Rhinolophus ferrumequinum: one gene and its partner. The protein of the gene in region 2 interacts with the protein of the main gene of each other region in a pairwise test. Links are inferred from orthologs where the notes say so. Each region holds a gene or a part of one and is shown on either strand. Other genes may lie near its edges.

Region 1 (6,942 bases), on a different chromosome or scaffold from region 2:
GTTTTGTGATTATTTTATGTCTTTATTACCAGTAAGTGCTTACTGTAAAGTTCTTTAGTATAATAAAGAAAGAGTAGACTACAGTATTCCTATTGACTTTGCACTGAGAGTTCTAGTGTTTTGTTTTGTTTTTTCCTATTGTTTTTTCCCCAGGATATAGAAGAGGTCAGTGGATGCAAGTGGCTTCCAAATCAATATAGTAACACTACAAAATTTACTGGTATATCTCTAAGGTTCCTTCTGACTCTGGTTCAACATGACAATGTTGAGTAAATTTTAACAGAAAGTTGAGAAATAACCTATTTTTGTGGATAATTTTAAGGCAAGATTTATATTAGGTACTGGAATCTTGAGCCCCTCCTAACCATTGTTAAAGACTAGCTAACATATTAGCTGAAGGAGAATTCTTAAATTTGTCGTGTTGACACTTTCACCATGCTTATCTACTCATTTTTTGTCTTTTGAAAAATATGCTATATTTATTTTCTATAACAGCATCTATGCTATTTCATTTGGGGAATATGAAAGATGTGCACAGTTGTTTATACTTCATATTAGACAAGTGATGCTATCCCTTCTCAAGAGAAGATTTTGGCTTTAACATCTTCTTCCATATCTGGAAATTATAATTGCTTCATAATGTATTCATCAGAAGTGTGCTGTGAACAAAGTGCCTAAAAAGGACAAACCCTGAAAATATATCTATGTTAAGGAGGAGCTTCTGGCTTAATTAAACTAACTTTGTTAAAGTATCAGAAAGACAAATGCGGCATATTTTTCAGTTTGTCATAAATTATTCTAGGGGTGAAATTCTGAAATTACCTCATGGTAATATCTCTGTGCTCATGATAACATCTAGAAATCTCAAAGCTTTTTATATACTGTCTGATATCCTTTTAAAGCGGGGAGAGGGATGCTGTGGGAAATGGAATAGTTATTATTCCACAGTTAATAAGTTTGCCCGAGCTAGAAATAGCCTGGTTTTCCTTCTAATGCAATTTTCTGAATGTTTTTCCCCTCGGTACCTACCTCTAGGGCTGGCTACAGTCATGCACAGGTATATAGAGAAATATTTCCTTATGACCTTGCTTTTCCAGTTGCAATTTTAGCTTATGTGAGTATATATTTTTAGCTATTCATTCCCCACTCATCCCACCTAGTGGGTTTGCAATATAGTGTGTACCACTTCAGTACCAATAGGCTGTATGTTTCATTAGAAGTTGTATACAAGTCTGGTGTGATGGATGGTGTAGTTTTGTTTCAGTCTTTGCCACCTTCCCAGGGGACAAACACACTAGCAATTTTGGCGTATTTTTTTCCATTTCCTTATTGATGACTGTTTCAATTGGAGATTTTGGTTGAGTGGCATAATTCAGCCCCACTACTGTATAGGACTTATCTGGTGCAGGCTGTGATATGACCCACACTGATACTTTGCATGAGATTTTCAATCTGTTGGAAGTTCTTAGGATAAGAAGTGCAAAGTCTTCCAGTAGCTACTCTTTGTTTTTATCCTTTAACTTGTGCATGGCAATATGGCCAGTTTGAATAAGTCTGAGCCTACTGGATAACCTTGGAATATTTGCTCATAGATGACCACCCTATCAAGTGACTTTAAAACTGTACTTTTGTATAGTATTTTACAGTGACCCTATTCTGAGGTATTATTCTCATTTTACATATGAGGAAACTGGCCTAGACCAGTTAAAGAAGCTTACTGACTTTCACATAATCTTGTAACTTACCAAAGCAAAAGTTCAAGTCCAGATTACCTATTATGCTATATTGTCAATAACCGGGAACTGAGAAATCCAAACATTGTGATCCCCCCCAAACACATGATCTTTTTATTCTTTGGCTTTTTGTGATATAAAAAGGTTTCCCTTTCATTTAAAAAAAATGATTGACTAGGTTATATAATCACATAATTCGAAATTCAAAGAATGCAAAAAGATACACAATGAAGAGTTTTTCCCACCCTTGTTCCTCACCATCCATTTTCCCTACCTGGAGTCATTCACTTACCACCAGAGGCATTTTATGCATATATAAGCAAACATATTTCTCCTTCTTTTACTCAAACGGAAGCATACTATATACATCATTTTGTACCTTGCTATCGAACTAAATACATTTTAGAAATTGTTCAGTAGCACTCCATTGAGAACTTTGTCATCTCTGGGACTGCTGCATAGTTTTCCATTGAATGGATGTATCACATTCATGGATATTTAAGTTATTTGCAGTATTTTGTTATTATAAACAATGCTGCAGAGGATACACATACACATGTACATACTTGAGGATGCATAGTATTGAGGATACCATTCATACACATTGAATTGCTGTGCTAAAGGGAATGTGCATTTATGATTTCAAATGTATCCTCAGGTTACCTTCCATAGAAGTACCAATGTATGTTCCTACCAGCATTGTATTGAGAGGGCCTATTTCCCCACAATCTTAACAAAACAAGTGTGTTGTCAAATTTGTGGATCTTTACCAATCTGGTAGGTGAAAAATGTTACTTTAGTGTACTTTTTAAATTAAACTTTTTCTTTAAAGAACAGTTTTAGATTTACAGAAAAGTTGCATAGAATGGAATTCCATATGCCTCCACTCAGTTCCCTTAGTGTTAACATCTTAACCTATCTCTGGTATTTTGTCACAGCTAATCAACCTCATTATTAACTAAAGTGCATAGTTTATTCATATATCCTTTTTTTTTTTTCTTTTACCTAGGGCCCCTTTTCTGTTCCAGGATCCCATCCAGGATACCACATTTCATTGTGTCATCACCATGTCTCTTTCGGTTCCTTTGGCTGTGACGGATTTTCAGACTTCTCATGTTTTTTACGACCTTGACAATTTTGAGGAGTACAGGTCAGGTGTTTTATAGTCAGTGTACTTTGAGATTTCCATCTCACTTATGAGATTAAACATCTTTCTTTTCATACACTTAAGGATATTTGTATTTCCATTTCTGGGAACTAGGAGCCCATGCTCTTAATCGCTATGCTGTACGTCTCTCTTGATGCACCATAATTATCCGTAAAACGTTCACGGGCCTGAATACGTATGGATTTCTGATTCTTAACGACATAAATGTCTTGTGCGTAAGCCTCTGTTACAGATAGAGGAGAACCATTGGTATAAGTGAAGTCAGCAAACTTGTGTCTGATCATTCTGGCTACACTGCAGAGGATGGACCAAAGGCTCCACTTGAAATAACAGGAGGTTAGTAAGTCTTTGAAAGCAGAAGCAGAGCTGATGGGGACACAACTGAAGGAAATTGGAGGCGCCAGGATTTGGTGATACTGGATGAGAGTCAAGAAGTCAAAGGTGACTCCTAGGTTTATGAGCTGGATATTTTGGGTGTTGCCTTTAACCTCTACAAGAAACTCGAGAAAAATACTTGAACAATTTACAACATACCGGTTACTGAATACGTACTTTCTCTTTCAGTATTTTTAGTTCTGCGCTACTACAATTCCCAGAGCCGCGCGCTCCACCACAATCCCCTTCGAGTTTACCGCGCAGAGTTCTGGGAGTTGAAGTCCACGGCCTGTTTACCCAAGTTAGAGATAGGGGCCTGTGGAAACATGAAGAGGTAAGGGTTTGTCTGAGAACAGGCGGCGAAGGAAGCTCTGTTCTACCATTTAACTTTTAAAATGGCTTGTATTACTTTGTGTTTGGGGTATGTCACGTTGTTGGGTTGCGGTTTCGTGGGAGCGGGAAGACAAAGGAGGAGGGAGGAGGGGAGACAGGCTAGACAGGCCTGCAAGGGGAAGTTCGGGAAGGGCCTCCGCCGCTGCGGGTTCCCGTAGGAATGCCCTTCCAGCCCAGCCATGTAGGCCACGGCGCCGGCCCCGGGAGCTGGACAGATGCTGTGGCTTTTTCATGTTTCAGACAGACCCACCCAGGTGAAAGGGTCTTGGCGGACAGATGCCCAGCGCCGGAGAAACCCAGGCCAGCTCCTCCTTGTCCCCCTCATCTCCACCCTGTTCTCAGAAAAGGGCTGTGGGTGAGCGCCTTTATTTGCAGTGTTTGTGTATTAAAGGAGACTTGCTCAGTCCCCAAGAGCATGTAGCGCTTTCAAATCTTAAAGTAAGCAAGTATGCTTTGTTTCTACAAATTTAGAAGGCAAGTACGTACAATACCTATTCGGTGTACTACAGGAAAAGAATGGCACTGCTGCAAGCAGTTCCCCCTACTGCTTCTGCAGGAAATGGCAGCTTTAATTTGGGTCATTGTTGAAAGCGAGCTTCCCAATTATTGATAGCACACAAAGAGTTTTTAAAGGATCCTTATTAAAGTAGTTTTGTATTTACTCTGCAAGTAGAATAATCTCTCTGGAATAGGGCGGTGGGTGGGCTCTATTAAAATTCTTACTGACACTGCTCTCTTGCACTGTCAGTTTCTGCATCTTTTAAAAACTGTTTCTGATTTTCCCTGCCTCAAAATGACTCTTAAAAAATGTTTCTTATGATATCTTTCATACATGAAAAATTATATATATATATATATATATAGTTTAAAGAATGATAATAGACCCACTACAAGCTTTAAAATTGGAACATTACCAGTACCTTAGAAGTCCCCAGTGCTTCTTGATTGCTTCTCCTCCCCCCTTTCCCCTGAGGGGACCACTATCCAGAATTTTGTGGTAAACATTCCTTTGCTTTTTAAAAAAAATCATTTTACCACTTAGGAATTTATCCATAAACAAAATGTTGCTCGTTTTATCCATTTTTCAACTTTATATAAATGGACACATATTGTATGAATTTTTCTGGGACTTGCTTTTTTTCACTCAACATTTCTTTTTGAGATTCATATGTACTGATTTATTTAGGTATGGTTTATTCATTTCAAAGCCACTTTAAACTTAGCAAGAACTTTCAGAATTCTAAATAATAAAACTAAGATACTTAAAAGGGATGTTTTAAAACCCTAGGCCTAAAGATACTTAAAATTTTCCTGAAATACCTCTTAGTCTTTCTAGGGCACGAGAAGTTTACTTGTAATTACCGGGGGTACTTTTCCTAGGCCCCAATAGTAAAGGGCTATTTTATAAAAAAAATCATTTTAATATTTATTTTCCTCGTGGAGTTAGCTCATTTTTTTGTTGTTGTTTTTGTCTTTTATAATCTGTTGTTGCCTACTTAGAAGGCCTTGCTATTTCTTTAAACTCTAATAAGAGCTTTCAATTATTTAGAGTTAGTTAGTTCATGTTATTAGCATTACCTAGATTTTTACCTAGGCTATAAAATGTTGTGACCCTTTTCATATTTGGTTCTGTGCTCTCTCCTTTGGAGATCTCCTGTTTCACAGCTTCAGACCCTGACAATACAGATGACTTGAGATTTACATGTTCAGCCTGAGACTCTTATCTATGCAACAATTCTCACATCTCTCACTTTCCTTTTAGTCAATATCACTTATACTGTCACCTCAGACTCAATAAGTCTTTGAAGTATTCCTGGTACTTCATGCTGGTGTTTTCAGTTGTAATAGGTAGTTGACTCAACATGACTAAAACAATACTGACTTTCCCTTTCCCAAACCATTTATTTCATTTGGAGCTTCCTCTTTCCTTCATTGGTACCCTCGTCCTCTCAGTTTCATAGCTTGAATTTGGGGGTTATCTTTGACTTCTCCCTTACCCCTACCTTACCTCCTTATGCTTGATACATTTAAATAGTTTTCCACCTAGTTCTTCTGGTTTCCTTCCTATTAATTCACAAGGCATATTATAACCACATTCTTTTTCCTAAACTATCACTTGTACCGTGTCACTTAGCTGCCTAATAAATTACATTCTAATACCTATATATTAAGGTCTAGGCTCCTTAGTTGGTATATTTAAGGCCATTCACAGTCTGAGTCTTAATTACCCCTCCAAGATTATTTCCCAGTCCTCTCATACATGAATGCCAGCTAAATTGAACTTCTCATTATTCCCCAAAACATCTCCTTATACTTGCTCTCCCTGTTCTTTCCTTCATCACACCCAGTCCTTCAAATGCCAGTTTAAGAATTACCTTTCCGAAGTCTTCATTTACCACCTAGCTCCCAATTATCTCTTCTGTAAACTGCTGATTTGGCATAAGAGGTCAGACAATTAAGTTCGCGAACTCATCCTAGAAAAAGTGCTACATACCTCATTGCTGAATATCACTACAGTCACCTTCAAAGTACTCCCCTTGGGAAGCTATGTACCAACGCCAGCGCCTAGTCCACCCTTCAAAGCAATTTTGGAACTCTTTTTCTGGAATGGCCATCAGAGCTGTCGTCATATTACCCTTGATGTCCTGAATGTCATCAAAAGGTCTTCCTTTCAATATTTCCTTTATCTTTGGAATATTGGGGCCAGATCAGGTGATCTGTTATTGGGGCCAGATAGTTATTGGGGGCCAGATCAGGTGAGTAGGGAGGGTGTTCCAGTATAGTTAGTTATCTGTTTACTGGCTGAAAACTTCCTCACAGACATTCGTGTGAGCTGGTACATTGTTGTGATGCAAGAGCCATGAATTATTGCTGAAAAGTTCAGATCGTCTAACTTTTTCATGCAGCCTTTTTAAATAGTAAACTTGGTAAACTGTTTGTCCATTTGGTACAAATTCATAGTGAATAATCCCTCTGATATCAAAAAAGTTAGCAACGTCATTGCAACAAAGTTCGCAAACTTAATTGTCAGACCTCCTATGCTTCTCTGTATTGTTCTCCTCTCCTCTCCTGCCCACCCTTACCCTCCCTTGCCCTCTCTCTCCCACCCACCTCCCTGCGATGCACACACACATAACACATATACACATATATATTCCCTCTCCCTAAGTAAATTTCAAGCTGTTTGAGGATAGGGACTATGTCTTGAATATCTGACTCAGTCAGTACCTTACACAGTGTATTGTGTTTAAGTAGATATTTAATAAATGTTTG
Region 2 (7,760 bases):
AAACCTCCTAAAGTCCTAGTAACCACAGGTTTCAACAGATATTTGCATGACAGTGCAGTTACAAATAGATATTAAACATTTCCAGGAGACCTTATATGTTAAGAATCTATTTTATTACTGGGAAAACAAGGACAAATCTGATTTTATTGGTATGGTTTTAATATATGGTCTAATATATTTCCAAAATCTGTAAGGAACCAGATGGTATGGTCTAAATAACAACAAAGGAGGACTCTGACTTCAAGGTGTCAAGAAAAAAAAATAGTATTAAAAAATTTCAAGCATAGGAAAAAATTTTGAAATGAGTAAAAACTCCTCCTTCTATAAGAGCAAAAAAGTGTTAAAAGCTTCAAATGCCATTGTATGAAGATGTCCATGTCAGAAACAGAAAAAAAAATTTTAAAGGAAATGAGAGAAAACACAAATTACTAGGAAAAATTCAAAACGACTAAGGCATGCACTAAATTGTACAGTCTTAAGTGAGAATCTTTCCATGGCAAATAAACTAGACTTGGATTAATTCACATTGGACTTCTTAAATGTGACAAAAACAGGTGATTTGGAACCCTGAAACCATTTCTTGGAGAAGAATAGCAGCAGAGGCAACATTTACTAGCTTTGGATAGTTTTGTCTCATCCCATTTAGTATGTGATATTTTCCAGAGTCCACTCCTTATAATAATTTTTCCATTTTTATCTAAACAAAACACTCAAAAAAACAAATTTCTAGTAAACACATAATCCACTTGAAAGGCAATTAAATTATTTTCCACTGTCCTAGATTTGTGGACCAACAGCACTGCTCCTTTTTCCGAGTCTCTCCAGGTATACCTTTGCTGACTATGCCATGTTGGCTTTCTGACTCTCAATCCAATATTATTCTCTTCTTCAAATATGAGCAGAATTAGCTGGTCCACATCAGACTTTACTAATACAGAAAACCATTTATGGTCATGTACAGGAATTACAATGTCTTCTCTTTTTTTATCTTAAACAACTGAGTTACGTGGTACATCTGCAGACACTACGTGCCTGCAGAGGCAGGGCTACGTGCAAAGGGACTATTTTGTGAATGCTAAGGGAGTAAATTCTATCTTCACTTTTTAAAATATTATACTCTTTTTATATAACCAATTAAATGCAGCATAGTACATTCTTAGTCAAATTAGGTTCTTCAAAATAACACGCTAGTGGTTTGGAGGTTTTATGTCTCTCCTATTCTCTACTTTTTGTACCGAGCATTACTATAAATTGCAAAGAAGTGGCCCTAGCCAAAGGAGGGACAAGGGCAAAGTCTATAGTCTGCATCGATCATTTTACAAACATGAGAGCTCAATAGGCACTAACTTCCCAGACATGAATGGGGCAAAGGTGGAAAAGGGAAGGGTTTAACTGAAAGACATGGGGTACTCTCAAATCCTCTAAGGAAAAGGAGCTGAGTTGTGGCAGCTATGATTGTCAAGGGCTATGGACTACTAAAGGCTTTCTGTCTGATGCAGATTACATCAGTAGACAATGTTAAGGACAAGCCTAGCTCTTAAAGCCAACACGGTAACATGGGCACCTTTTTCTCTTACCACTACTCATTCCCAGACTATTTCTGCCCTGGTCAGAAGAACCAAAAACCCTCTGATGGAATAGCTGTTACATCCTTTTTGCTTCCTCCCCCAATAAATTCTACTTCAAAAGCCCCTGATGATTCCTTGATTTCCAAAAGCCTGCCACGCTGAGCTCATTAAAGTAAAACGACAAATGTCCACATCCCTGACATATGCTCCTGTCCAAGGTAGGAAATGGAGGTACCTTTTCCCTCTTCCTTGTCCAGTCCAAGATCCAGGAACCAAGTTATCCATTGTTTTCTTTCCAGATCAATTTTTAAGTGCAAATTCACTGGTCAATTACAGCTAAACAATGATCTAAACTTCTTGAATGAGCTAAACTTCTTTGAACACAATTAAAGTGGCAGGCATGTCTCCTAGATCATTAGCCCCTCCAAATTCCTGATGCTTAAAAAGTTGATGCTGCATTAAAATATTAATAACAGGCAGGCCCCAATTATTTTGAATTAGTCTGATGGGCAGAACTCCCGTGAAACCACTCAGTCTCTGCACGAGATAGGAGTCAGGAAGTGCTCTTCTCTAAATCATCCCATATTTTAGAATTTTAGAAAGACAAAAAAATGTGTATAACGATAATCAGTATTTAATACTATGCAAGCATACTATGCAGGAAAAATAAATACTTCATCTAAAACATAACAGGGTAAGACCCTTCTCGGTTGCAGACACTGGAAGGCAGAGTTTGGAGAGCTGGCTGGGTAGACAGACAGTGCTAAGGTGTTTGAAGTCGCTTACTTTTCTCCTTGAAGTTCTTCCTTTCATCATCACTTTCAGAGCAGCACTAGAAGAAGAGGTGTAACAAACACATTAAGACTTAAGTAGCAAACGAACTCATGCAAGAGAACATACACTGGAGGACCACGAGGACCCAGACCCCTTCCCCCGGGGTCGCTGGCCGGAGCCGGGCCCATTCCTGAGCGACCGGGGCTGTTTGATGCAGGTTCCAAAAGGGCCACCACCGCCACCTCCCCAGGACCGTTGGCGTTACCTTGCCTAGCCGCCAGGGTCACCTCCCCAGAGACAAGTGTCATCTCACCGGGATCGCCACAGCCACCTCTCTGGGACTACCTCCCCTGGGAGGTCTGTGCCACCTCACCAGGGTTGCAAGAGCCATCTCTCTCGGGTCACGAGAAACACGTCCTCAACCCGGCCGCCACGGAAACAATCCCCTCTGGGAGATCTGTGCCACCTCACTGGCCCACCAGTGTCCCCTCCCCAGGCCATCAGGGCCGCCTCACCGGGGTTGCGGGCGCCTCGCCGATCTGGCCGGACCCCAGCATCGCGCCTCCGGGTAAATCCTCGGCTCCAGGAGCAGCCAGCGTGGCGCGTGGAGCCCGGCTCCGGCCAGCTACCAGACACCAACTCAGTCTCGCGGACTGCAGGGCGGAGCGCCACCGCAACTTCCTTTCCCCGTCTCTTTGGTTTCTTCCTCTTCTCCCAGAGAGGCCCTGTCGTCGCAGCCGCCGGCCGTGCGCGGTGGCGCCCCCTGCCGGCAGGGGCCGGGAAGGCCGCTTAGGAATTGGGCGCAGCCCCGGAGGCTCTCGGGTGAAAGGGGGCGGTCCTTCCCAGCCCCTGTAAAACCTCCTCCAGCTCCCTGGGGCCGTTAATGATGGAGCTTGAAGATATCCCTCCCTCCACACCATAAATTCAGTATGAATCATTTCAATTTATATTTTAGATGATATTCCAGATGAAGGTGTAAGGGTGGGCTTGTTGACTATCTTTAATGTAATTTGGTTGGGCTGTTTAGTTGGAGAACTTCCAATGTCATTATTTTTGCATCTTTCCTTTCAGGCTGATCAGATTCAACTAGAGATAACCCTCCAATGTCCTGTCTGGAGGATGCAGATCTGGTTATAAACTTTCTGGGAGCTGAATAGAGGAAAAGGATTCAGCATTTAATATGCACTTTACCCAGTGCCAATACCCTACCATACCTGCTCTTTGCTGGGTAGGAGGAATAGGAGATACCTGATAGCAAGAGATAGGTAGAGGACTCTTGGATTTGACTTCAAAACAAACATGGAAGGTGGTGGTGCCACAGAGACATAAATAAGGGTGGGGGCCAGAGCAGCAACTCTTAGAGGAAACAGAAACCATTCAGTGAGGAGAAAACGTTTTTAAAAATTATATGGGGGCAGCTGGATGGCTCAGTTGGTTAGAGCACGAGCTCTGAACAACATGGTTGCCGGTTTGATTCCCACATGGGCCAGTGAGCTGCACCCTCCACAACTAGATTGAAGAAAACGAGCTGCCACTGAGCTTCTAAGGGTTGGCCAGATGGCTAAGTTGGTTAGAATGCAAGCTCTAAACAACAAGGTTGCCGGTTCAATTCCCACATGGGATGGTGGGCTGTGCCCCCTGCAACTAAAGATTGAAACCGGCAACTGAATGTGGAGTTGAGCTGTGCCCTCCACAACTAGACTGAAGGACAACGACTTGGAGCTGATGGGCCCTTGCGAAACACATTGTTCCCCAATATTCCCAATAAAAAGAAAATTATATATATAATCAGTATCCTGAGATATCAGATACCATTGCAACCATAATATAACAGAATATATATATATATATATATATATACATATATACATATATATATATATATGATAGCAGAAATGAAAAGTTCAGTAAAAGTTGGAAGATAAATGTCGGGAAATATTCTAGGGGAAAAACAAACAAAAGAACAAAGAAATGAAAAATACAAAAGAAAAATAATAAATTAGAGGACCACTCCAGGGGACCCAAAATCTGAAAAATAAGAGTTCAGGAAAAAAAAAAAAAAAACCAACAGGGGTTAGGGAAGGCATGATCATCAATAAAACAAGAAAATTTTTCCAAACTAAAAATCATGAGTTGCCACATTAAAAGAGCCCACTGACTGCCCAGCACATGGATAAAAATTGACTGACCCCAAGGCTCATCATTGTGAAACTGCAGAGTACTGGGGGCAAAAAGATAACCCCTAAGCTTTGGGAGAGAAAACAAAGGCTCAAGACTCAGCATATCTTTCCATTTCTCAACAGTTACAGAGAAAGCTAGAAGACATGGGAATAATTCTATCAAATTTCAAAAGGAAATTTATTTCAAACTGAAAATTTAGCTTTACTAGTAAACTACCAATCAAATGTGGGTAAAAAATAAAGGTGCGTTCAGACATTCAAGGTCTCAAAACATTTCCCTTCTCCTTTCCCAGGAAGCTACTGGAGGTTCTGCTCCACTAATATGAAGGACTAAACAAAGAAAAAAGAAGACATAGGACATATTAAACAGAAGATACGACACAGGAGAAAATGAAGTAATGCCTGGACAACACTGTGCACTCGACAGACTGACACAGGTCAGAAGGTATCAGGAGAAACTCCTTGAGAAAGATGAAACTGATAGAACACCTTATCTATCTAAATCTCTGGAGGAACAGATTTTTTTTTTCCACAGGACTTTACTGGGGAACAGCGTGTACTTCCAGGATTTTTTCCAAGTCAAGTTGTTGTCCTTTCAATCTTAGTTGTGGAGGATGCCGTTTAGCTTCAAGTTGTTGTCCTTTCAGTCTTAGTTGTGGAGGGCGCAGCTCAGCTCCAGGTCCATTTGCCGTTGTTAGTTGCAGGGGGCACAGCCCACCATCCCTTGCCGGAGTCAAACCGGCAACCTGTGGTTGACAGGATGCGCTCCAACCAACTGAGCCAACTGAGCCATCTGACCATCTGGTTGCTCAGCGGCAGCTCAATCTTTAGTTCAATCTTTAGTTGCAGGGGGCGCTGCCCACCATCCCTTGTGGGACTCGAGGAATCCAACAGGCAACCTTGTGGTTGAGAGTCTGCGCTCCAACCAACTGAGCCACGGAGCGGCCCTATATCTTTTAATTGGAGCATTTAATCCTTTTACACTTAAAGCGATTATTGGTAGGTACATAGTTATTGCCATTTTGTTATTTGTATTTCTGGTCTTTATTAATTAGATTATTTTCATCTTTCTTCTGTTTACGGAAGCCCTTTTTAACATTTCCTGCACTGCTGGATTGGTGGTAATGAATTCCTTTAGCTTATTCTTTTCTGGGCAGCTCTTTATCTCTCCTTCAATTTTAAATGATAGAGAGCAGGGAATTACAAAATCTTAATATCACAGAGTCTTTGTACTAGAAGGGACTAGCCTGGAGGCCTTTCATGATACAAGCCTGAAATCCATCTGCTTCTGGTTTCCTCCTAGGGATCCTGCTTCCATCTTTTGAAAATATTTGAAGGTCAAAATGAAAATATCTGCTGCGCTCCTGGTGCCTCAGTTTAGTGTCAACATTTCACAGTCTCCCCATCCTGAGAACCATCCCTACTCTCTTCCAAGAGTCATTCATTTCCACATGAGTCAGGAGGCACAAGGAGAAGACCGGAGGCTGACAACTCTAGGTAGACTCTTCTTGCAGCTGCCTCTCTGTATGTTTTTATTGTTACTTTCACATGTGCAAAACAACGTAGTGGTTAGACATTTACACACACCTCACAAAGTGATCACCCCACCAAGTCTACTACCCCCCTGACATTGTACAAAGCTATTACAATACCACTGATTCTATTCCCTATACCGTACATTCTGTGACTATATAGCTTTTTAACTTATAGTTGAAATTCAATGACATTTACTATTATTTTATATCAGTTTCAGGTGTACAGGGTAGTGATTAGGCATTTATATGATTTATGAAGTGATGCTCCTCGTAAGTGTAGTACCTACCTGGCACTATACAGAGTTTTTACAACATTATTGATTATATTCCCCATACTGTATTTCATATCCCCATGACTATTTTGTAACTACCAATTTGTAAATATTTTCTAATCCCCTCACCTTTTTCACTCATCCCCCCAACCCTTCTCCCATCTAGCAACCATCAGTTTGTTATCTGTAACTATGAGTCTGTTTTCTGTTTTCTGTATCTATGAGTCTATTTCTGTCTTGTTTGTTGATTTATTCTGTTCTTTAAATTCTACATGTAAGTAAGATCATTTGGTATTTGTCTTTCTCAGCCTGACTTATTTCACTTAGTATAATACCCTCTAGGTCCATCTATTTTGTTGCAAATGGTAAGATTTCATTCTTTTTTATTGCAGAGTAATACTCTATTGTATAAATGTATCACAATTTCCTTATCCAGTTCGCATATTGGTGGGCATTTCGGTTGTTTCCATATCTTGGCTATTGTGAATAGCGGTGCAGTAAACATAAGGGTGCATATATCTTTTTGAATCAGTGTTTTGAATTTCTTTGCATAAATACCCAGGAGTGGAACTTCTGGGTCATAAGGTAGTTCTATTTTTAATTTTTTGAGGAACCTCCATACTGTTTTCCATAGTGGCTATACCAATCTGCAATCTCAACAACAGTGCACGAGTGTTCCATTTTCCCACATACTCACCAACACTTGTTGTTTGTTGATAAACTGATGATGGCCATTCTGACAGAAGTGATTTTTATTAGCATTTCTCTTATGATTAGTGACGTTGAGCATTTTTTCATATGTCTATTGGTCATGCCTATGTCCTCTTTAGAGAAATGTCTATTCAGGTCCTCTCTCCATTTTTTAACAGGATTGTTTGTTTTTTTAGGTGTTGAGCTGTATCCGTTTTTTTTGTTTTTGTTTTTAGTTTCAGGTATACAAAACAATGAAATAGTTAAACATTTATCATTTATATCCCTCACACAGTGATAACCTCCCTGCCCCATCTACTACCCCTCAGACATCGCACACAGCCTTTACATTTCCACTGTCTCTATTCCTAATGCTGTACTCCACTTCTTGTAAATGTATATATATATATATGTATGTATATGTATATATGTACATACATATGTATATAATTGTAGTTGACATTCATTATTGTTCAGCTTCAGCTTCAGGTGTACAGTGCAGTGAGCTGTATCAGTTTTTTATAAATTTTGAATGTTAACCTCTTATCAGATGTATCATTGGGAAATATCTTCTACCATTCAGTAGGATGTCTTTTCATTTCATTTTGTTAATGGTTTCCTTTGCTGTGCAAACCCTTTTTAGTTTGATGTAGTCCCATTTGTTTATTTTTTATTTTGTTTCCCTTGCCCGAGGAGATATATCAGTGAAAATATTACTAAGGATAATAGCTGAGAGTTTTT

What was found. The genes of interacting proteins can lie anywhere in the genome.
Region 1: the proteins of RINT1 (region 2) and RBM41 interact in binary tests that used the Homo sapiens proteins (3 or more experiments, as listed by UniProt). The two-hybrid records come from large-scale screens. The link is inferred for Rhinolophus ferrumequinum from reciprocal best matches to the Homo sapiens genes RINT1 and RBM41.

Annotation. Positions count from the first base shown.
Region 1 is NC_046284.1:47,454,096-47,461,037, forward strand, and holds the start of RBM41 (RNA-binding protein 41), read left to right. Parts: upstream 1-3,849; 5' UTR 3,850-3,884; coding exon 3,885-4,024; intron 4,025-6,942. UniProt on the Homo sapiens protein: May bind RNA.
Region 2 is NC_046303.1:48,937,200-48,944,959, reverse strand, and holds the start of RINT1 (RAD50-interacting protein 1), read right to left. Parts: upstream 2,983-7,760; 5' UTR 2,900-2,982; coding exon 2,858-2,899; intron 2,401-2,857; coding exon 2,355-2,400; intron 1-2,354. Other genes in the region: serine/threonine-protein kinase MARK2-like, read right to left, coding at 2,983-3,105. UniProt on the Homo sapiens protein: Involved in regulation of membrane traffic between the Golgi and the endoplasmic reticulum (ER); the function is proposed to depend on its association in the NRZ complex which is believed to play a role in SNARE assembly at the ER.